3 linked regions of the Stegostoma tigrinum genome follow. The protein of the gene in region 1 interacts with the protein of each later gene in a biochemical or structural test. Links are inferred from orthologs where the notes say so. Each region holds a gene or a part of one and is shown on either strand. Other genes may lie near its edges.

Region 1 (7,920 bases):
ATTAATATGCATCCTTTGTTTGCAAGGTAAGTAATAACACATTAATGATTATTCCAGGTTGTTGCAGAAGGAACGAGTTCAAATTATAATTTAAAAGCACAGCTCGCCACGGCGCTGAAAAACGAACAATTTAGTACAAACTAAACGCATGCCTTTTGTATTTTGCAATCTCGGGTCAGTAACTCAACAATGACCACTGGCATTGTAACCAGCTTTCAGCAACTCGCCACAGCTAATAAACGATTTTTTTATTTTCTCGTTGGGATTGGGGGCGGGGGCTGGGGGCAGGAATTAAGGCACATGCAGAATTTTATATATATGTTTAAAATTAATGATTCCAATTTTGAAGCTCTGGGCAAAGTCCAAATTGGAATAAGTCTGTTTTATCAAGTTGAAATATTGAATAAAGCGCACCACACAATTTCATTACTCCAAACTGTTTACATGAATGAGAGAAACTGATAGCGTTAAAAAGCAAGTGCTGGATTTAATTAAGGGAAGACGCAATTTATATTTCTAACAATGCAGAGGAGAAATTTGCTCTCATTTGATGCATGTTAATACATAACATTAATATGTATTGGTCATTTGGAAAAAATAGATTTGTTTCGCTTGATTGTCAATTTAAACTTGTCAATTTTATTTTCAAAATCTGAAGCAGATGCAGGGTTCACGAAAGCAGATTTTACCAGAGGTGGTCGTGAAGGGGTGGGTGGGTAAATGGGTTGAGAATCTCCCCTTAATTTGAAAACAGTTCACTATAGACCAAGGCAGCAGTGTAAAGTAAGAACTGCATAGGGTTTTCAAAGAACCGACCTGTACATCCTCGATGGCATGTGCGATGCTGTGGATAGGCAATGTATCCCCGAGGCCGGAGTCGAGTCCGTGGGTGCTGTGGAGGAGGACCTCGGGCCGTCGGTACTCCCTCCGCGGGTCCAGGCCGGCGAGTTGGGGCAGCCCGCGGGGCTGGTGGAGGATTCCCGCTTCCTGGTTCTGCCGCTGAGGCCAGGTCGGGTGCTGCGGCTGGGGCTGCGGGTGCAGCGAGTTCAGCGAGTAAGGGTCGTTCACATGGGAATAGGGGTCCTGCGACTGCGGGTAGATGGGCTGGTACGGAGGAGGGAAGTAGGGCGGCTGGAAGTCCGTGTTGGGAGTGTGAGAGAGCGGCGGGGCGGTCGGGTACGGAGACTGGCTGACCGTCCCTAACTGAGGCAACCGTGGAGTCCCATTGCTTGTGCCGTCATGCCGGTCCTGCAATGAAATCAGACATGTAAAGTTGTAATTTTTAAAAAATACATTATTTTATTCTTTTTTGTTAAAGAAACATCGCTGGTATGACACTTTCGTTGGCGGTGGCAAGCTTAAGTTTTACTGGCCATATTAGTAATTGTAAATTATCGCACGGGGTAGAATTCAACAAAATATTATCCTCCAAGGAGGTATGCTAGATTTTTTTTATTTTCACAATCCAAAGTGCTACCAGTTTTTGTTTTTGGGAGGGGGCGGGGGAGGCTCGTTTTAAACCTAGTGGCATCTCACTGAAACTCACCATGGCCGAGAAACTGTGCACTAACATCTGCGGGCAGTCTGATCTGAGTTCGTCAGGGGGAAAAAATAGAGAGACCTAGAGGTGGAAAATTGGAAAAAACAGTCCAGTACTATACAGCTACAACACGATCACAACGCCGGGGAGTCACATGCAGGAGGAAGGCAAGCGAATCCATCAGAACTTGAAAAATTTCTTCATTGGGAACAACACACACAAACAAAAAAAAATGATCAGAATTGTGTCTAGTTTCAGGGCGTCACGTCGGTAGATTTTTCAAACTTTTTTTTCTCTCTCTCTTTCTCCTCCTCTAAGGGCGAGCCGTGGCTTCACTCAGCACATAATAGCAGATATTCATGACTATTAATATTACACGAATACTTAATAAGGGGAGAATGGTCGGAAATCGAGCGTGAAGCGAGGAAGCAACTTAAAGCTGTGTCTGTTATAAATGACGTCCGTTGAATCAGTGTATCTAATCAGAGAGAGAGAGAGAGAGAATAGAGGGGCACACATTGCTGTTTCTGACGAATCACAGGGAAGAAGAGAACATTTTCAAGTGATCGAGGGCATGCGAAAGTGAGAGGGAGAGAGAAGGGGAGCAGGAATGGTGAGAGTCAGAGGGGGGAGAGAGAGAGACAGAGAGAAAGAGGGGAAGGAAAGAAAGAGTGTGATGCGGGAAGGAATTTGCACCTCGTTATCGTGTGAGAATCCAGCAAACGCCAAAGGCATGTCGGCGGCCACTCGCTTCCTGGCTGGAGAGCGACTACCTGCGCTCTCAGCTCTCTTCCTTTTCAGCTCTTTATCCGGAGGTGACTGCTGCCCTGATCCTGGGTCACTAGTAGTCTGATCCATCGTGCAATGGGTTAAAAGTTAAGAGACAGAGGGAGCGACAGAGACACTATGGAGTCTCCAAAGCCCTGATTCGTTTTCACGCACTTTTACGCAAGCTGCTCCCCTACTGCGATCCTAAAAAAACAACTCTCGTCTAAACTCAACTCGAAAGCGGCTCCAAACAAACGGATTTCACTTCTGATCGTAAACCTACTCCGCTGGAAGCTCGCGCCGACCCTTCATACTTTTCTTGGATTCTTATATTTTTTTTATTAATTTCCTCCCCGCGTTTTTGAAAAAAATAAAGTGAAACTAAACGGCCGCTTGGTTTAGCCCGTGGTGTGAACTGCCTTCTAGCCTGCTGTACAAACCCGTTTGACTGGCTATACAACTTCAAAACAACTCCCCAAATATTACCTCGCAAACTCTAGAGCAACTTTCTCAATCCGGGCACAATCACGGCTTTTAGCCTGAACCATCTAACGCCTTCTGCCATTTCCACACAAAAATCTTTCATCTTTACCAAGACACAATTTTGTGCAGATTTCAATGTTTCCATGTGCGTTTTTTTGTGGGGGGTAGGGTGGGTGGTTGGGGGTGGGGATTACGAACGTTTAAGCAACAAATGCAGACAGATATACAATTTGGACTAAGGCATTAGAATTGACTACAAAAGCAAACTGCTTTTCCTTGCTTGATCAAACTTGCTCTTTCCCAAGGCGTTCTGTGACAATAAGTGCAGCAAGCTTAGCGTTTTAATTTTGGTTTTACTTTCACAAACATCGCCAGCAACGCGGCCCTTTTTGAGGGTTCTGTTAAGAATTTATAGGCGAAGGATTTCAGCCAGGTTTACCAAACATTAATCATTTCAGATGCTTAATCTAGTGGACGTCGATTCTTAACTCTCGATTCCTGTATTGTTTACAAACGTGAGCTATTGCCACACAATAGAGCTGAGGTACGCACCCTGCAATCGGCGTTTGCATTATTTTACAATATTATTAAGCCGAATGGCCAAGTGCTCCATTTGTTTTTGTCATGCTGCATCTTTCTATAGAATATATAACTGTGAAAGCATACTTAATGTTTAAAATAAAACTTTGCAATATTCGGTTTAAATGAGAGTGATGTACAGCTTTTTTTCATTCGACGGGGCAGTGAAAACTGCATTTTAATTCTTTTGAATCTAATATGAAATTGCTTACCTCGCACTCCTCATATTTGATATTGTCCGCTAATTTCCACAGCATTCTCATGGATTGGTGTAAAAGTGGTTGACTGGATGTCTCAGAGAGCGGACAGTCCTGTACAGAGAGTGTGTGTTGGTTTAGCGCTCTGTATGTGCTCTGAGATCTCCCTCTAATGGTCGATCGTGTTCCCCTCTCAGCTCTTTAGTAACTCGCTAATAACAGCCCAATTAGCATATGAACACCAGCCAAACACTCATTCAACCACATTACTGCTCCAATGGATACAGGTAGAGAGCCTGCCCTGCCGCCTGGCAATGGACGTCAACATAAATACATTGGCGGTGGACAACAGCTTATAAATGTACATGGAGCTACTTGTTCTGTTACTTGTTAAACCCTCCCTTACCTTCCATTCTACCAAAGCACAAGAGTACGATGTGACTTTCTTTCTTTGGTTAACTCTTCTCCCTGCAGACATGCACTGTTTAGTTGTTAACTGATTATGCCTTCCAATGAAGGCAATAATCTTGCTGAAACACCGAACTCAGTCGTTTATTTTATAATAACAGGGCAAGTGTGCTTCACATTTTCACTATGTTAAATAGCAATAATAAATATATAGATATGACCCATATTTTGATACAACAGTTAACTTCATATTCCTCTGCGTATCAAGCACCCAACTTCATCTACATGCCCTTTTACTAAGTAAACAGTTTAGCTTAAATATTAGCTTCACAATGGATGTAGTTAAATCGAATCCGAACTGATTCCGACTTCCTTGCTTTTTGCTGATTTTTTTTAAAAAGCATCTCCTCAGGAAAATTCAAAGTAAAGACAATTTTAACATTCCCTCAGCAAGTTATTTCCCGGACACGTTTACGCTTATCAGAGCGGTAAACCTCAGTAGTGCTGAATTTCATTGATAATTAGGTGGCTTTACTACCAGTATTTAGATTCTTTCAGCGGTTGTGTCTCGTTTCCTAGCTGAGAGATTCTAGGTTTGTGAGCGAGAATTTCTTTCGGCATTTACCTTTCTTTGCTATCTGGAGGCTTTAAATAACAAGCGTGTAGAGTGTTGCACTGCAGCCATTGAGGTGGAAATCGTTTGTTATGTAGCTATTCAATTCATACGTAAACAGGGACTAAAAAAGCAAACTATTTTGAACTAACGTCGCATTGCAAACCTCTTCACAACCGCTTCATTAAAGTTATTACCATAATAAATGTCTGACTATGAATTTATGAATCGAGACAAGGTTGCACCGTTGTCTTTCATTGAAGGTGAGAAAGTGTGCAAGGGTAACTCTCAACCCAGGTAATCTGGGTGACTAGATCTAGGCGTCGTCTACAGGTAATCTTCATTACCATTTTTGGTGGAGCTCGAGGACAAAGATGTCATCAGAATCTATTGTCTTTAATTAGAGGACCGAGATATCCACCGATTCAGAACACCTCACTCCAAAAGGCCAAACGTTTTGAAATTTAAATACAAAATTATTTCTATCGCTGGAGTCACAGTCAGCTTTGGGTCTAAGAGGCGAAAATATTCAGCTGTACCTGGATTTTTAAACGTGTTTATGCAATTATTCTAAAAGCTCGCGGATCTAATTTATGTTTTTTTCTTGATGGCGTTCTGTTCTCTTAAGTCACTTGCAAAGAGTACGGCAGTATTTTTACATTTAAAAGTGATGTTCTTCCCCCCAATTTGCTCACTTTCTACTGTGAAGCACTTATTCATTACAAGCTGCTTGCATGAGCTGTGATCTCCCACTTTCATTCGAACTGTTGAAGGGGGTGTTACCTCTTAATATAACGCTGTGCATTAAAAGAGATAACGAGTTTGCAAGATCATTGATTTAAAGCACTGAACCTGCAGCTTTTCTATTTTACCTGTGTACAAATGTCGATTCTTTTAAAGAATAGATATTTTCCACATCTCCATTTTCAAATGAAAATTTGTTAATCTCATATAAACCGATGCTAGTTAATTTAGAAATCATTTAATGTTCACTTCTGTGCTGGCAGACTAGTGGAGTATAAGAATATAGTAAATGAGTTTATCTGAGAATCATACATTAAATTAACTTCTAATCGATCGCTATAGCAAAATACAATGAATAATTAAAATATATGCTCCTGTCGAATGGAAGCACTTTTTAACAGGAGAGCGGTGCTTTGCTGTTTTTATTTCTGCTTTTGTCGAGCAGTTTCTGAGCAGCCTAAACCGGTGAAATGTATTCCAACTCCTCCCCTCCCAATTTGCACTTCTTTTAATTAAATGTAATTCTATACACATGTAACCATAACAAGGTTCGCCTCGTTTTAAAATGCCAGCGATTTCTTTTGTGGCGAGGAAAATATTCACATCTGTTTATTTGGTTACAAGGTCTTGTTACCGTGGACTAGAATAAATGTAGTCCTCTCCGTTAAAGTGTGCGAACGATGGTGAAACGCCATTACTCACAATACTATCTTCTCCTTATTGATCTTTTTCAAAATATTCGCCCATTCTGACTTTTTTTCCAAAATAGGGCAAAAAGAAAAACACCTGTTACAGTCTGCATTGATTATTAAATCAACGTGTAAGTACGTGATATTTGTGCATTTAAATATTTTAACTTGGTGCACAGGTGAAGAGGACTTTTAGGACCTAGCTATCCTACAGCATTTTAGCGCCTGGCCTATACGCGTGCTTCAGATATTTTGACTTTTTTTCGTTTCGCGGGTGAAAGCATAAACAAGTTAGAGAATGGCTTTAAAGTACAGCAAATACTTCTGTTTGAATGTTACTGTCGTTATGTTTCTTGTATTGAACAATGGATTTCAATAAATCCTACCATGATAAATACCTGTATTTATATTCAGCATCTAACAAGTTCATTTTTCAATGCACGTCTTTTTGTGTCAGCTGAGACAGAATATCCCCTTATTTCAAAGCTTTAGGTCCGCCAAAAGTGTTCTAACTTTTTAAATATTATTATTGCAGCAAAGTTAGATTTGTGTCGTACATAATTCCAGTTTATAAAATACACTGAAATGTTTGGAAAATTATATAGATAACATGACTCTTGATTTGGAGCCCACAAGCAACATCCAGCTCTACACCTTGTTATCTCACATTGTTACAGACTACCTTCAATCTTTGAGAAAATCTAGGAACCATGGAACAATGGAATTAGGTTACAAGTTTTGTACCGAGCAAATAGCACATAGGCTTCACAGAAATATATTTGTATTGATACTCTATTGGTTCTAAACTTCAAATGTTTAATAATACACCAAATAAAGTTAAATCCATTGCTGCCGAAATCCAGTTGTAAAAGTTATTGTCTATTTAGTAGAATTTCCAATGAACCTGAAACAAGTTGTGTGTTTATGAAAAGGGAGTTGATAGACAAACTGCCACTCTTCAATATGAAAAAAAGTGTTTAAAAATAAAATATGAAAGAAGAAATGAAATTTAATCTGTCCTGAGAAAACGAGTTATTTCCCCAAGATTAGCGTTGTTCTACGAACATGTTAGACTAATACAACAGTCACATAATCGCTCGTTAAACTGGAGGCTAATCTTTCTTGTTTGTAATCTCATTGTGATTGACCCCAAGTTAGGAAAAGTTGTAACATGGTGATGATTACAGTGGGCTGCTTTCTATGTATCTGGAGCACAGCGCCGATAGTGAACTGACAAGAAAATCAAATCACATCGCAAAAGGGAAAAGGCAGAAAGGTTTGAGGCGTATTTATCGAGTTAACCTTTTCAGGGCCCATTCAAACAAATCAACTAAACCAAGGGTTTCGCCTGTAGTAGTGTAAATTGGATATCTAAACTTTTTTCAACCTGAGACTTTATAGAGTTTGTATTAGTTGCGTCATGCAGGTAAACACAATGTAAGTACTGATAGAAAGTTTGGACTCATTGACTTATTTGCAAATTGTAATTATTTGTCCCAATTCACTGACTTTATCCATGACGTTCGTCTACATAATGAAATATAGGCACCGCTGGAATAGGCAGCAACTTTCAATGGCTACTGGGACTTCTGTAATCATGCCAAAGGAGTGCCGTTAATAGATAAGTTCACGTACCTGCCAGTCCCCCATTTTGCCCAGAATTGACATATCGCCTGGAGTTGTCCGTGGTGTCCTCAAAAGATCTGTGAGCTGTTGAGTAATTTCTCCTTTTACCTCTCCAGGATCATCTCACCTGGTCATAAAGTGCTGGGTGCCACCTGTCCGCGCCTGCGTACTCCTCAGGAATGTCAGTACCTTGCAGCTTCAAAAAAAACGCCTATCTCAGCACTGATGGATTTACAGCAGCCATGTACCACGAAGCTCCATCGGCTACCAGAC
Region 2 (8,014 bases), on another chromosome or scaffold:
GGCCTCCTGCAGTGCCACAATGATGCCATCCGAAGGTTGCAGGAATAGCAACTCAGGAATAGCAGGAATAGCTTGGGAACCCTGCAGCCCAATGGTATCAATGTGGACTTCACCAGCTTCAAAATCTCCCTTACCCCCACCGCATCCAAAAACCAGCCCAGTTCGTCCCCTCCCCCCAGTGCACCACACAACCAGCCCAGCTCTTTCCCTCACCCTACTGCATCCCAAAACCAGTCCAGCCTGTCTCTGCCTCCCTAACCTGTTCTTCCTCTCACCCATCCCTTCCTTCCACCCCAAGCTGCACCTCCATTTCCTACCTACTAACCTCATCCCACCTCCTTGACCTGTCCGTCTTCCCTGGACTGACCTATCCCCTCCCTACCTCCCCATCTATACTCTGCTCTCCACCTATCTTCTTTTCTCTCCATCTTTGGTCCGCCTCCCCCTCTCTCCCTATTTATTCCAGAACCCTCTCCCCATACCCCCCTCTGATGAAGGGTCTAGGCCCGAAACGTCAGCTTTTGTACTCCTAAGATGCTGCTTGGCCAGCTGTGTTCATCCAGCTTCACACTTTATTATTTTGGATTCTCCATCATCTGCAGTTCCCATTATCAGTGAAATATTCATTTAATATTTCTCCCATCTCCTGAGGTTCAACACAAAGTTGACCTTTTGATCTTTAAGAAGCCCTACTCTCTCTAGTTGCTTTTTTGCTTTTTATATACTTGTAGAATCTCTTTGGATTACCCTTAGCCTTGGCAGATAAGGTTATCTCATACTCCCTCCTAGCCTTACTGATCCCCCTCTTAAGAATGCCCTTACACTCTCTATACCATTCAAGAGGTTCATTTGAACCCAGTTGCCTATGTCCAATACATGATTCTTTTTATTCTTGACTAGAATCTCAATATCTTTATTCATCCTTTGTTCTCTAATCCTACCAGTCTTATCCTTCACTCTCACAGGAACATGATGCCTCTGAACTCACACTATCACACTTTTGAAAGCCTCCCACTTGTCTGATGTCCCTTCACCTGCAAACACTCTATCCAATCAATTTTTGAAGTACTTGTCACATACCATTAAGATTTGACTTACTCCCATTGAAAAATTTAACTTTTATGGAAGGCATATCCTTTTCCATGACTATTTTAAAACAAATAGAATTATGACCAATAGTCCCAAAGCGTTCTCCTGCTATCATGTACAGCCATGGATTTCAGACGCAGTATATTCATTTACTCCACACTAATCTTTATATTATTTCAATCTTCACATTTTCAATTCGGGGCACTCCCAACATTCTCTTAATGGATTTAAAGGACTGATATTTCAGCCAATCACAGTTTATTGCCTTGATACCTTTAGGACATTCAAACAAACTCAATAGACGCATTCACCCAGACATGCAGAGACAGAGACAGGCAGGGGCGGAGACAGAGATTGGCAGGCAGGGGCAGAGACAGAGACAGGCAGGGGCAGAGACAGAGACAGGCAGGGGCAGAGACAGGCAGGGGCAGGGGCAGAGACAGAGACAGGCAGGGGCAGGGGCAGAGACAGGCAGGCAGACACTGCTGTGTCATTTTGAATCATTGACCAATGTAGCACAGGATGCCATTCAGCCCATTGTATCTTTGTTGACTCTTTCAAAGTGCAGTTGAATTGGTTCTACTCTCCTGGCCTTTCCTTCTTTATCCAAACTGAAAGACAGGGCTCAACAATCACTAAAACTCATGGGAAGTGATACTCTCTCCAGCTGCCTCTGGTATTATTTAATATTCGTGCCACTTGAAACAGCTTCTCCCTGATCTATTTCACTAGCATCTACTCACTGGCAGTTAGTGATGGACAATAAATACAGTCCTTGCCAGCAACTTCCACGTCCCAGAAATGTAGAAAAGAATCAAAACTGTCAGTTTTGAACAACTTGATCAAATATCACCGTAACCAGCGCCTGCTCTGAAAGATTAGCCCAGTATCTCCAGTTTTGTGCCAACACCACCACTTCCCTTTGTGGCTGCTGTTGGCCTTACATGACCTCATTGTTAGACTCTTCCAAGAGGTCACCCATCCCTCAAATTCAACTCGCCAGGGGCATTGCAAAGACAGCTCTCATGGCTTCGGCAAGATGTGCCACAGTTCTGGACTTGAGCCACTCAGTCCCCAGTTACAGGCCAAAGCACGGCACGCACACATGGGAGACCACAGCAGCGAGGACAGCGCCCTCTGATTGTACAAAACCCACCGACCGAGCAACTCACACTGAACAGTGACCGTGGGATGTTACACTAAACCACCCTGTCAAAGGGGGGCGCACTGGGCAGTACCCACCCAGGCACAGCAACAGCCTGGCACAAGAGCTAGCAGCAAGTACACAAGCACCAGGCCCACGAGGGGCCGACTCTCCCCGGGGCGCAGTTCTAAATGACTCAGAATGATATGGTATGAGTTTGAGATCACCCTTGTATTTCATTAAAATGCCATCCTGTATCACAACCCAATACTTGTTCCCTCCTGATCCTCCTCGCCAGAGTAACTACCCTCAGGCCAAAGCCCAAGGTGTGGGCCAACCTTTGCACAGGAAGACTTCACAGGCAGATCTTACCTTGCATCCAGCAGGAGGCAACACTGACTTCCCACAAGATCTGTGATTCCCAGTCGGACATCAGCTGATTCTCCGTTTGCCGAATCCTGTGGCCAGGCAGGCGGCAGGAATTTGGATTGGTAACGTTTGGAGCCAATGACTCGATGAGGGGCTGACTGTCATGACCCAGATTTGTGGGAATCTCGGGATTTGGGATCAATGTTGGGAAGTGTTACTCAATCCCACGAGGATAACAGCAGGAAACTTTCCAGCCTTCGGGAAGATGAAGACTAATCCTTTAATAGACAGGGGTTATTGGGGCTGACACAGCTTGTCGCTGAATCTCCTGCGTTGCAAAAGCGTTGCACATCACAAGCATAACATTCACTGAGAAGTGTTTTGCAACCTCTGAGGATGTGCAAGGTGCTACAGTAGTGCAACACTCTGCCTTTTTTAAAGTAGGGAAAACATCCAACTCTTTCCCCTCCCACCCACCTCCTCACAGAAGGCTTCAAAAACATGGACCTTGGCTCCAGGCACAAACATAATAAACAGAGCAACAGAGCGCACGGACCTTGATTTAATATGAAACTAAACGTTTCAAAATGAACACAATCCACTTGGTGCCTGTGCTACTTTCTAGCAAGTAGCTTCAATCCATTTTTAATTTACTTGCTCGTTTCTAAATACAGAATATTTCTCATTATTTCGTGGGGGGCACTGAGGTGAAGCACAGCCTTTCTTTAAAATTTTCTGGAACAGCATGACAAAAAAAAGTAACATCGCAAATTATACTGGATTTTATAGCCTAGAGACAGGCCAGTTGGCCCAAATAAACCATGTTAGGGTTTGTGGTACACATCAACCTCCTCCCACCCTCAGTCTCAAGCCTTTCTATTTGTCCCTCCCTTATCTTGGAGGGTTTAAGCCACAGGGAGGGGCTGAACTGGCTGGCGCTATTTTCCCTGAAACGTCGGAGGCCGAGGGGGTGACCTTGCAGAGGTTTATAAAATCATGAGGGGCCTGGATAAGGTGAATAGATAAGGTCTTTTCCCTGGGGTGGGGGGGATTCCAAAACTCGAGGATATAGGTTTAAGGTGAGGTGGGGTCAGTAATATTTAACAGGAACCTAAAGGGCAATCATTTCACACGGAGGGTGGTATATGTACGGAACGAGCTGCCAGAGGAAGTCGGGCAGGCAGGTACAATTACTGTATTTAAAAGGCATCTGGATGAATAGAAAGAGTTTAGAGGGAAATGGGCCAAATGCTGGCATATGGGACTAGATTAATTTAGGATATCTGGTTGGCGCGGATTAGTTGGACCAAAGGGTCTGTTTCTGTGCTGTACATCTCTGTGACTCTATGTAGCTCTCTCTGCAATTTATCCTCTCCCAGTCTCAGTGAGCGAACTACAGTGGGTTTCCTCGTGTAGTTCCGGTTTCCTGTGAATGAGCCACATTTTTCTGGCTGTTTGGATCAGGATTTCTCCTGAATTCCCAAATAGATTTGATCCTAGTTCATTCAGATGTTCCTAAATGTGACTCCACCCACAATCGTAGAATCCATAGCGTCCCTACAGTTTGGAAACAGACCCTTCGGCCCCACAAGTCCGTGCTGACCCTCAGAGCATCCCATCCAGACTCATCCCTCTGTAGCCCACCTGATCTAAACACCCCTGAACACTACGGGCAATGTAGCACGGCCGATCCACCCAGCCTGCACATCTTTGGACTGTGGGAGGAAACCGGAGCACCCGGAGGAAACCCACGCAGACACGGGGAGTATGTGCAAACTCCCCACAGACAGTTGCCCGAGGCGGGAATCGAACCCGAGTCCCAGGCGCTGTGAGGCTGCAGTGCTAACCACTGAGCCACCGGGCCACCCTTACAAACCTCAGATACAGGAAATACAGGTCATCATGTGAGGGTTCAGTCAGGGAGACACACAGAGCAATAGGGAGACACTATGGTGTCCTTATCAATATTGCTGTCCACTGTGAGTACACCCCCAAAATCAGCAAAAGGTCACCATCAACCAGGTACCTACACACCAACAAAGCAGTCAGTCACACAGAGGGCAGAAATACTCAGTGACAGAGTTAGAAAACTACACTGTGGAAAAAGACCCTTCGGCCCCACAGAGTCCGTGCTGACCCTCAGAGCATCCCACCCAGACCCATCCCTCTATAGCCCACCTAACCTAAACATCTCTAAACCTAAACAGTCAAGTCAGTACAAAACTCTGGTGCGGCCACACTTGGAGTATTGTGTACAGTTCCGGTGACCGCATTATAAGAAGGATGTGGAAGCTTTGGAAAGGGTGCAGAGGAGATTTACTAGGATGTTGCCTGGTATGGAGGGAAGGTCTTATGAGGAAAGGCTGAGGGACTTGAGGCTGTTTTCATTAGAGAGAAGAAGGTTGAGAGGTGACTTAATTGAAACATATAAAATAATCAGAGGGTTAGATAGGGTGGATAGGGAGAGCCTTTTTCCTAGGATGGTGATGGCGGGCACGAGGGGGCATAGCTTTAAATTGAGGGGTGAAAGATATAGGACAGATGTCAGAGGTGGTTTCTTTACTCAGAGAGTAGTAAGGGAATGGAACGCTTTGCCTGCAACGGTAGTAGATTCGCCAACTTTAGGTACATTTAAGTCGTCATTGGATAAGCATATGGACGTACATGGAATAGTGTAGGTTAGATGGGCTTGAGATCGGTATGACAAGTCGGCACAACATCGAGGGCCGAAGGGCCTGTACTGTGCTGTAATGTTCTATGTTCTATTAGATGCTGGGAAGTGCAGGTGAAGTATTGCTTCAAAGTGCTAATTGTCCACATCCCACAAAAGAACATGAAGTCTTTAGAATTGTACCAGGAAACAAAACAATTTCCCCCATCACAAGGCTTTTAATTTTTTGATTTGCAGGAACTAGTTCTTTATTTTCACTAACCATTTATTAGGTGTTGGCCCGCAGTAAAAGTTGTCGTGACCATATCATTTTATTTCTCTGATTATTGACTGAAATGGGAAGAAGATTGTTTTAAAGACCAGGGATTGTTGAAGGAGTGCTGCACATTCTAAAGCAGGTTATCGACACTCATCACAAGTGGCGTCTACACAGCTATTTGTTCAAGCAGAGGAGCTGGTTACTGATGAGCTGGACACAGACCGTGCACACAGTCACTGCCTGGTCGGTGGACTCTGACCAGTTGTCAATGATAAAGGCCTTCTGCCTGTCAACAGCACTCTGATTGGCTCGGGGCCTAATGTGACTTGATTTTCAGTACACGACCCCAGTGAGGTGTGACACAAGAATGTGTAGACATACACAGCATTCAGACTCAGACAGAAGCAGAATTAGAAGAATTCATCAATATCCTAAATAATCAATACCCTGATTATTCTAGAGATAGTAGGACCACACTCCCCTCCAACCCCACCACACTCGACACATTCCCCTGCAACCACAGGAAATGCTATACCTGCCCCTACATGTGCCCCTGCACCCTCATCCCAGGCCCCAAGAGACCTTCCACATCAAGCAGATGTTCACCTGCACAGCTGCCAATGTGGTATACTTTATCGCTGTTCTCGATGTGGCCTCCTCTACATCAGAGAAACCAAGCGGAGGCTTGGGGACTGCTTTGCAGAACACCTACCCTCGGTTCGCAATAAACTACTGCACCTCCCAGTCGCGAGCTTTTTCAACTCCCCCTCCCATTCCTTAGACGACATGTCCATCATGGGCCTCCTGCAGTGCCACAATGATGCCACCCGAAGGTTGCAGGAACAGCAACTCATATTCTGCTTGGGAACCCTGCAGCCCAATGGTATAAAGTGGATTTCACCAGCTTCAAAATCTCCTCCCCCACGACCAAATCCCGAAACCAGCCCAGCTCGAGCCCACCTCCCTAACCTGTCCTTCCTCTCACCTATCCCCTCCTCTCACCTTAAGCTGCACCTCCATTTCCTACCTACTAACCTCATCCCACCCCCTTGACCTGCCCGTCCTCTCTGGACTGACCTATCTCCTCCCTACCTCCCCACCTATACTCTCCTTTACTGGCTCCATCCCTGCTTCTTTGAACTGTCTGTCTCCTCTCCACCTATCTTCTCCTCTATCCATCTTCTTTCCACCTCCCCCTCTCTCCCTATTTATTTCAGAACCCTCCTTCCCCTCTCCCATTTCTGAAGAAGGGTCTAGGCCCGAAACATCAGCCTTCCTGTTCCTCTGACTCTGCTTGGCCTGCTGTGTTTATCCAGTTCTACACCTTGTTATCTCCTGATTATTCTACATTTCTCACGAGAGAAAGCCACAGCTGATAAGGAAAGCATTAATTTCATGGACACAAAGTGTTTTAATTGGGAGACAACAGGTACATGCTAACAAAAATATTCAAAATCAGACACGCGCACACACCTACATACATGAAGCCATCGCCCTAGCCACATCTTCTCCATTAATCATACGTACAGCGGGAGGATTTCAACCAGGAAGTTATTGTATCTCTGATCTCAATCTCAGATTAAGATTTAATAATTGCTAATGTTGATTACTGTGGCATCCACTGCACTTCTCCCCAAATCACAGTTAATGAAAACTGGCAGATGTAAGTGAGAGATTTAACACGCTTTTGCAAGAGGTTCATTTCCTCAGAGATATCAAAGTTTTCCCAGTTCCGAATTAGTAGAGTTTTCCTTTGCTGACTGGTTCCCTCTCTTCCCGCTGCATCTCTCCTTTAATGCATCCCATCCCTCTCATCACCCGCCACGCAGCCCCCTGCTGCGTGCCCGCCTCACCCGCCACGCAGCCCCCTGCTGTGCGCCCGCCTCACCCGCCACGCAGCCCCCTGCTGCGCGCCCGCCTCACCCGCCACGCAGCCCCCTGCTGCGCGCCTGCCTCACCCGCCACGCAGCCCCCACACGGTGGTTTTTTTTTATCTTCCACTCTCCTCCGATCCATCCTCACACTCGTTCTCTCCCCACATTCCCTCTTTGCAGCTCCCACCCCAATCCCCGCAGACATTTTCATTCTCAATGGCAGACAGACTCCAACACCCCCACTGCAGCCCAACCCTAGACTCAGGGTGTGGAATATGAACAGATGTCTCCCTGGTTCTGCCACCCTGCCAAGTTTTTGCTCACTCACGTCACAAACCATGGGCCCTGGTTCTCCACCTGTGCTGGTAGCATATCAATTCCAGGTACAGGAAGCTTCTCTGATGATTCTGCCTTGACTTTTAACTGCATTATTATACTTAATGACTTTGACAGAACCTTTCTTCTTTGCAAAGATAGTGCAACATACTCAGTAATACTCTCTGCCTCCATGCATACACCAGATCTTTAGCTCCCAACATTCCCTACCCACCCTTTCCCTATTTCAATGCCTATGACTCTCTCTAATAGCTGTCAGTCACCCTGTTAAA
Region 3 (8,080 bases), on another chromosome or scaffold:
TTGTCATGTTACCAGTTAGTGGTCTCCCCCACCCCTGAACATGTTAATAAGGCCACGTGGAGAGATTTCACCCTGAAGCCATTCAGTGGAAGAATGCCATCTCAAGAGATGAAGAGGTGGCAGTGAACTGTGCCTTTATAAGAGACACTTCTCTCCAACTGCAGCTAGCTAGTTGGGAGAGCTGAAGATGTGTGGAGCGGGGGGTGTGGGGGGATGCGGTGGCATGATATATTCTTAACCCACTGTTCACCTCCCATTTGTTAAAGCGAAGCAAACAAAAAAGCTTTCCGGAAAAAAAAACTACAAAATGGCTCAGTTCAAATGCCTTTTTGTGATCCTGATTTGGTTGGACGAGCCCCATTTGCTTCTCTTGCTTTCTGTGCCCCTCCCAGAGCCACATCTCCCCTCCCCCATCTCCTCGACTCCCAGAAGTTTCACAATAACTTGATGCATAACACCAGTCTACTTAAGGCTACATTGTCAACAGCACTGAAAACAAATTTCTTGACAAAAAGACTGAGTGATTTACAGTTACTGTAATCTCCAGGGTCTTTATTATAACCTTCTCAAAATAAATGAAGCATTGAATAATAAATTAAGAAAACACACATTTCTGCAGCAATATTTAAGTTTGTAAAAAAATACTGTCCATTTTTTTTTCGTTTCCCTCCCCTTCCAAAAAAAATGGCTTCAACACAGACTATCATGTAAACGATAAATTGGCATTGTAGTGGCAAGTAAACAGCAAACAAATGAACTGTTTTTTTTTAAAAAAAGAGAATGTAACCACCTTTTGAGAAATGCTTTAGTCGCACACACAGACACAAACATGCACACAAACACATGCGTACACGTTCCACCCTGCAATGTCCAAACATTTGAGAGACAGAGGCTGGCAGGAGGGGGGTGGGTGGGAAGGTGACGCAGTCATGAAGATCTCGTCAAGGCTGGAGGAATGTTAAATCTTTTGTGTTAAGACTACTGTCCCTGGTTTTAAGTTACAGTCCTGGGGTGGGGGGTGGTTGTGGGTGGGATTGGGGGGGTGGTAAATCACTGCAACTCTTTGAAAACTGAATGAATCAAACTGATACATACATCATCATACCACACATCACTCAAAACTAAAATGACTGTTTTTGTGTTAGTGTTGGTAGGTGAGAACAAAAAGAATGGTGATTATATAATTCCTTTAACTGTCTTCACAATGCTTTTGAGGAAAACATAACAGATTTTTCTCACTCCCTCTCTCTCCTCAGAACAATTCTGCTTCAAAAAAAAGTTAACCCATACATTTCTCTTTCAAAATAAAATGTGCTTCATTCAAAATAAAACACCCAGATGGTGTGATCAAATTTTCTGCTTGCGGGTGCTCCACTGTTTTCTGAACGGTTTGTTTCGGTTTTCTTTTGTTTTTTTTTAAATTAAAAATGAACATTTAACAGGCCACTAAAGACATTGAAAGTTACATGTACAGAGTGGTTACATGTGCAGTGAAGGAGTTATCAAACAACATGATTTAAACAAAAAAAAGTCACTCAGTTGATGAATGGATATTTAAAATCTAAAAACAACAGATTATTTCTCGCACTCTCTCTCGCGTTGCAAAGAATAAATCTTTCTGAGTTCAGTAGATGGAAGTCTTTTTTTGCGTTGTTTTTCCTTTCCAGAATCCTTTTCAGTACACACTCTCTCAGCAGCTCACCCGACTGGTTTGCTGTTTACAAATAAAGTCAGTCATGAAATCGAACTCATTCTGTCCCAGCCACAGCTCAGGCAGTTCCTTGATGCGATCCAAACCCAGTTCAATCACCAAGGACATGAGGACCTCTTCGTCGATGAAGTCCGTGTCTATGGCATTGGGGGGCAGCATTGTTGCAGACATGTGGTGACTCGCTGGCATTGAAGAGCTATGATGTTTTACTTCCCTGTACTGTTGTTGTTGGTGACCCAAGGCGCTAGCGGGATGCAGGTCCGTCATGCTGTAGTGTTGCTGCTGGTGGCCGTAGTACTGGTTGGTCAGCTTTTGTAAATGCATGCTGGCCGCAAGCTGCGCTGCAGGGCTGCCCCCAGCCACTCCTTGTCCCATATACTGGGGATGGGGAGGATGGGAGTGATGTTGTTGCTGCTGCCTAGATGTGTACCTGATGTTGGGGGGCATGTTATTCAGATGACCGACTGGAACCCCCTGCCTGCTGCCGGGGACCAGCGCATGCCTCAAGCCGCCGCTGGAGGAGTTCACGTTGCTGGGTCCGGGGTAATGCAGCAAGGAGGTAGCGGCCGGGTGCTCACTCATCAAGCCGCTGTAGGCGTGCTGGTGCTGGGGGTAAGGGTTCAGGTTCATCCGGCGGACGTGGAGCCCGCTATGCCCCTCCGGGAAACGTCCGTGGCTCATCATACGCTCGGCCATCGCCCCGTCCAACTTCAATGCAGAGAGGGGAGGGGGTGGGAAATAAAGAAATGCACTCGTGAATGAAAGAAGGCAAGACAAAATAACAACAATTGCAAAATATATGGAAGAATGCAAACTGGACAGCTCGCAACTCCATGAATTCTCCCATGAGCAACTTTGTCCAAACCTTTTGCAAAGCCAAGACTTAAAAAATATACAATTTGCAACTTACCTCTTTTGCAACAAATGCACTTTCTCTCCTCCTCTGCTTTCTCACTGATCTCTGGGCAAAGAAAGAGAATAATATTGATTATTCTGCTTTTCTGCCTTTGCACATTCACCAACTCTCTATGTACAGACTATTCTCAGCCGCACTCTTCCTTATGCCCCTGTCTCTCTCTCTCTCTCTCTATATATATATATATAAATATGTTCGTGCTGCTAAGCTAGAGGATCAGACGTCGCAAACTCGCAAGGATTAACCAACAAAAGATGTTCACTCGGCTGCCTCGGCCACTCTTAATATAGGGCTCCTGAGGCCAGACTGAACACCCGGCATAGACTTTCTCTGGAATGTGGATCTGGATCAGGAAGTCAAACCGAATACCAGGTGCCAGAATCTCCTCCTTCGCTCACGTAACTATTGCAGAACAGGGAAATGCAAAAGAACATTAAAAAATAAAGACGTAGAACGCAGCAACAGATTCGTTCATATAAAAAAACAAATGCAGATGCAGGGGCAAATTACTGCAGATACTGGAATCTATACTGAATACAAAAAAATGCTAGAAATCACAGTGGGTCGGGCAGCGTCAGCTCTGATGAAGAGTTGTCTAGACTGGGAGCATTAGCTTGCTGTCTTTCTCCGTGGATGCTGTGTGACCAGCTGTGATCTTTAGCAATTTTTGTTTCCAGCGAAGAACTGCAGATGCTTGGAATCTGAAGCAAAAACAGAAATTGCTGGAAAAACTGTGGAGGGAGAAACAGAGTTAATGTTTTGAGTCCAGCGCCTGTGCTTCAAAACAGTCTAATTGTACAGAATGCGTTATTTGCATCGTCTATCCATGACGGTATCATGTATTTACTAGGAGAAAGTGCAGGAGAAACTCACACAAACAGAAATTGTTGGAGAAACTCAGCAGGTCTGGCAACATCTGTAGAGAGAGAAAGCAGAGTTGACAACCCAAGTCTCATGTAAGTCGCCTTCAGAAATGACCTTTTGGAGTTCTGGAAAAGACCATTGGATCGTAAGAACTGTGAACAGGCATAGGCCATTCAGCCTGACAAGCCTACCTGGCCATTCACTGGGATCATTGGTCGATCTGACATCCCTCATATCTACTTTCCTGCCTTTTCCGTATCCCTTAATTTCCTGGCTGATCATGAGTCTATCCATCTCAGCCTCAAACAGAAACAGAAATTGTGGAGAAACTCAGCAAGTCTGGTAGCACTTGTAGAGAGAAAGCAGAGTTAAAATTTTGAATCCTTTTTAAACCCTTCTTTCAGATTTTCAGCGTTCTCAGTATTTTGCTTTTGTTTTATGCCCATATTTAATAGTGTCTTTTTAAAAAAAGGTTTTTGCTGGATTAAGAAAGGAAAAAATGACCAATTTGCATTTCCACATCACCACCATCCGGAAAGATTGAAGCTCTCCTTCCTTCGGATCCTTCACTGCCTTTCATTTCCCTTAGTGTCTTGCAGGTTTCCTATGCTACAAAAAGAAAGAATTGCATTTGTGTAGCATCCTTCACAACCGCCAGAGATCCTGAAGCACTTTACAGCCAATGAAAATCTTTTTAAAAGTGTAGTTGCTGTTGTAATGTAGAGAACGTGCAGCTAATTTCTGCACAGCAAGCCCCTAGAAACAGATAATGACCATGTAGTCTGTCTCAATGATGTTGATTGAAGGATGGTTATGGCCCAGGACACCAGGGAGAACTGCTTTCCTTCAAAATAGCTCTATGGGATCTTTAACAGTGTACCTCCCTAACAGTGTACCAGTTTAATACCTCATCTGAAACATGAACCTGTAGCAGTGAAGTGCTCTGTCCATTGGGACTGTCAGGTGAGCCATTGTAATCAAAGTCTAGGAGAGGGACTTGAACCCACAATGTACCTGACTCAGCAGCTAACAACCGAACCCCAGCTAACACACTGACTGCATGCTTCCCCGAGCCTTTCATCAGCTGGCCTCTTTGTACCTAAATGGCACCCTAAGTAGTGACTTGCAAACTTTTATTGTACTTATCTGAGTACATGTGACAATAATTCTAATCCTAATTCTAACAGAATGGTTTTCAATTTAGCAGTCAAGCCCCACTTGGCGTTCTTGTGGTAGGACAAAAGCTGAGAGCTCAAATCCAACCTCAGGACCTGATGGGTTACAGAGCATGGGCCATAATGTGACCAATACAGGCTGATTACCAATCTGGAAATCCTTCTGATTTGGCAGACACTAAGGTGGGAACAAATCTCCTGGTCAACCAGAACCATGTGGCAGGTGCAACGTAGGAGCCTTGCTGCATTAAAACACTCCATGTACAGGTACCTGCCATGTGTGGTCACTGTTGTCATTTTGTGGGACAAACAAACACACACAGACACACACACACACACACACACACACTCACCCACTCGCACAAGCCCATGCACACTCACCCACCTGCACACACACATCCAAGCACATGCATACTCACCCACACACACACACACATACAAATACACATGCACACTTACCCACATGCACACACTCACCCCTCCCACACACACACTCACCACTTGCACACACGCACCCATGCACACGCATACTCACCCACATGCCCATAAACACACACACACATACCACACATACACACGCACTCGAACACATATACACACATACCACACACACACGCATGTGCACATACACCACACACACCTATACACACAGACACACACACTCCCAGCCCACTTCTCTTTTTCTCACCCAGTATTGTACAGACCTGCACTGCCCAGTATGGGAGTCACTGGATTGCTGCGCTTCCCCACCCTCACACTACATTAATACTGAAACCAGTTACACAGACCCAGCTGACTCAGGTGTGGCACCGACCTGGTCGTCATCTCACTCAATATGATGCACTTGGGCACTGACAGAAACTCATATCTTTAAATGGCCATCACCGTTATGAGGTTTCACCCTTGAGACTTTTATTCTGTTTTTTTGTGAATTGGTTGACGTCTTGAGCAAGAATCTGCTCTCAGTGTTATTTTGTTAGCAGGACAGCAATGATTTTGCTTGATTCTTAAAAGTATGCAGCGTAGGAAAGCAGGTTTATACTCAATACTGGCCTGTCATTTCTATTTATAATCAGCATGTAGCTCTACTGGCTATTTTGAGCAATTTCCATTTTTATTTCAGTTTTTTTTAACATTTGAAATGTTCTCTTTTTAACTCATTACGGATAATTTGAATGAAAAAAACCATCTCTCTGTTAAGATAATCAGTTTAGTGGGAACATAATGGTCCCAGTCAGACCTCATTACAGATGGATCAAATGCTGTACCTTGCTGCTCCTTTGGCAATTTGAAGAAAATAATTATTTTTTGAAGTATCACTGACTATCGCAAATTAATTAATTGTTCTTATTGAACACAGTTGCATTGAATCTTAAAGGAAAATTGTACTGTCATGGACCTTTGTAACTGAAAAAACATTAAACCTAATATTTTTTAAAATTGCAATTTGATTGTATCATTTGTGACCACAGGAGGTCCCTAGGTGCTTTATAGCCTGAGAACTACATTTTGAAGTGCAGTTGCTATTACAATTTAGGAAATGCGGCAAGCATTTGTGCACAGCAAGGTCCCACAAACCACAATGTGAAAATGACCAGATAATCTGTCTTCAGTGACTCAGACAAATATTGATCAGGGCATTGGGACAAACTTGAAACAAACAAGTGAAATGTGCAGAAACTCACCAGATCTAGCAGCATCTGTGGAGAGAGAAACAGAGTGAACATTTTAAGTCTAGAATGACTCTTCTTCTGAATAAGATGGAATTAATTCAGTTTTGCAGAAGTCACACCGGATTTAAAATGCTCACTCTGTTTCTCCATACATACCAGACCTGCTGAGTTTCTCCATCATTCTACGTGTTTGTTTCAGATTTATCTGCAGCATTTAGCTTTTATTGGGGGGAATGTACCTGCTTGCCCCATGCTGGCCTGTAAATGGAAAAGACTTTGGTTTACATGTTATCTGAAATGCAGCATTCCTGACAGCATGCACTTCTTCTATACTGTACTGATGCATCGACATTGAATTCGGTGCTCAGTCTCTGAACTCACAAAATTCTGACTCAGAATGCTGAGGGTGGAGTGTGGCGCTGGAACACAGAACATAGGCTGGAAAGCTGGGGGAAGGAATACTAGAAGCAGGAATACATCCTTGCTCAGATCTGGTGCATTGCTGACAATGACCTTCAGGCATGATAGGTGTTTGTGAGACAGTGATCTATTGTTGGCTGATGAGGGAGGGATCTAATCAGGAAAACAAGGAGGGGTTTTAGATGAGATAGAACTGCCAAAGCTGGAGTCTGAGGTAATAAGGTGTGGAGCTGGCGGAACACAGCAGGCCAGGCATCATTAGAGGAGAAGGAAAGCTGACATTTCGCGTCGGGACCCTTCTTCAGAAATGGACTTTAGCTGAGGTATGACTGTCAAAAGGGACTGCTGGAAGAACACAGTCGTAAGCTTTGTATGAGCAGTTGGGTGAAGACACAGCCTGAGAGAAACACAGCCAGAGTAAGTGGGTGTTTCTGGGAATTTGGAGCACAGTGGGAATTTGGAGAGGGGAAGAGGTGATTCTTTTGCTTTATTTGTCATTTATAGTAAGGACTGTATTCCATTGGCAGTGGAACAGTGGCTCAGTGGTTAGCACTGCAGCCTCACAGCGCCAGGGGCCCAGGTTCGATTCCATCTTCGGGTGACTGCCTGTGTGGAGTTTGTACATTCTCCTTGTGTCTGCATGGGTTTCCTCCAGGTGCTCTGGTTTCCCCCTGCAGTTCAAAGATGTGCAGATTAGGTGCATTGGCCATGGGCAATGCAGGGTAATAGGTCGGGTGAGTTTTAGAGGGTCAATGTGGCCTTGATGGGCCAAATGGCCTGCTTCCATGTAGGGAATCTATGATTCTGTAATAGCAAGGATTAAGGGCCTCTGAGTAATTGATATTATTTGAAATTAAGCATCTTCCAAAAGGATTAATTTGAAAGGTGTAACTCATGGCAGGAGAGCTCAAATACATGGTGTGCTCTTCCTGAACTATATGGGAAGCCAGGATCATTTCCAGTCCTCAGGACCAGCATGTTGCAGCAAGTGAGTCCAGTTCCAACGCTTGAAAGCTAAGACTTTGGAGTTGGGTGACACTGTGGAGCATTCACAGGACAGGCAGTGTGGTGGAGAGCATATATAAAGAGGTGGTCATGCCAAAGGCTAAGACTCCACAGGGAGGAAGGGGCTGGGCAACCGCCAGGCCAACTAAGAGGATCAGGCAGGCAGTGCAGGAGTCTTCTGTGGCTTTGCCCCTGCAAAACAGATACGTCACTGCAAATACTGTTGGGGAGAATGGCTTCTCAGGGAAAGCGGCAGCAGCCAAATTGGTCACACCATGGTTGGTCTTACTGCATAGAGGAAGAGGAAAAGTTGCGG

Evidence for each region. The genes of interacting proteins can lie anywhere in the genome.
Region 2: the proteins of tfap2a (region 1) and BTB/POZ domain-containing protein kctd15-like form a complex in vitro, tested with the Homo sapiens proteins (2 studies listed by BioGRID, with this or other methods). The link is inferred for Stegostoma tigrinum from reciprocal best matches to the Homo sapiens genes TFAP2A and KCTD15.
Region 3: the proteins of tfap2a (region 1) and cited2 form a complex in vitro, tested with the Homo sapiens proteins (2 studies listed by BioGRID, with this or other methods). The link is inferred for Stegostoma tigrinum from reciprocal best matches to the Homo sapiens genes TFAP2A and CITED2.

The regions. Positions count from the first base shown.
Region 1 is NC_081358.1:44,307,991-44,315,910, reverse strand, and holds the start of tfap2a (transcription factor AP-2-alpha), read right to left. Parts: upstream 3,045-7,920; 5' UTR 2,399-3,044; coding exon 2,237-2,398; intron 1,622-2,236; coding exon 1,547-1,621; intron 1,249-1,546; coding exon 817-1,248; intron 1-816.
Region 2 is NC_081369.1:65,290,184-65,298,197, forward strand, and holds the start of BTB/POZ domain-containing protein kctd15-like, read right to left. Parts: upstream 3,025-8,014; 5' UTR 2,667-3,024; coding exon 2,606-2,666; intron 1-2,605. UniProt on the Homo sapiens protein: During embryonic development, it is involved in neural crest formation. Inhibits AP2 transcriptional activity by interaction with its activation domain.
Region 3 is NC_081362.1:90,588,657-90,596,736, forward strand, and holds cited2 (cbp/p300-interacting transactivator 2), read right to left. Parts: upstream 2,932-8,080; 5' UTR 2,622-2,931; intron 2,420-2,621; 5' UTR 2,408-2,419; coding exon 1,691-2,407; 3' UTR 525-1,690; downstream 1-524. UniProt on the Homo sapiens protein: Transcriptional coactivator of the p300/CBP-mediated transcription complex. Acts as a bridge, linking TFAP2 transcription factors and the p300/CBP transcriptional coactivator complex in order to stimulate TFAP2-mediated transcriptional activation.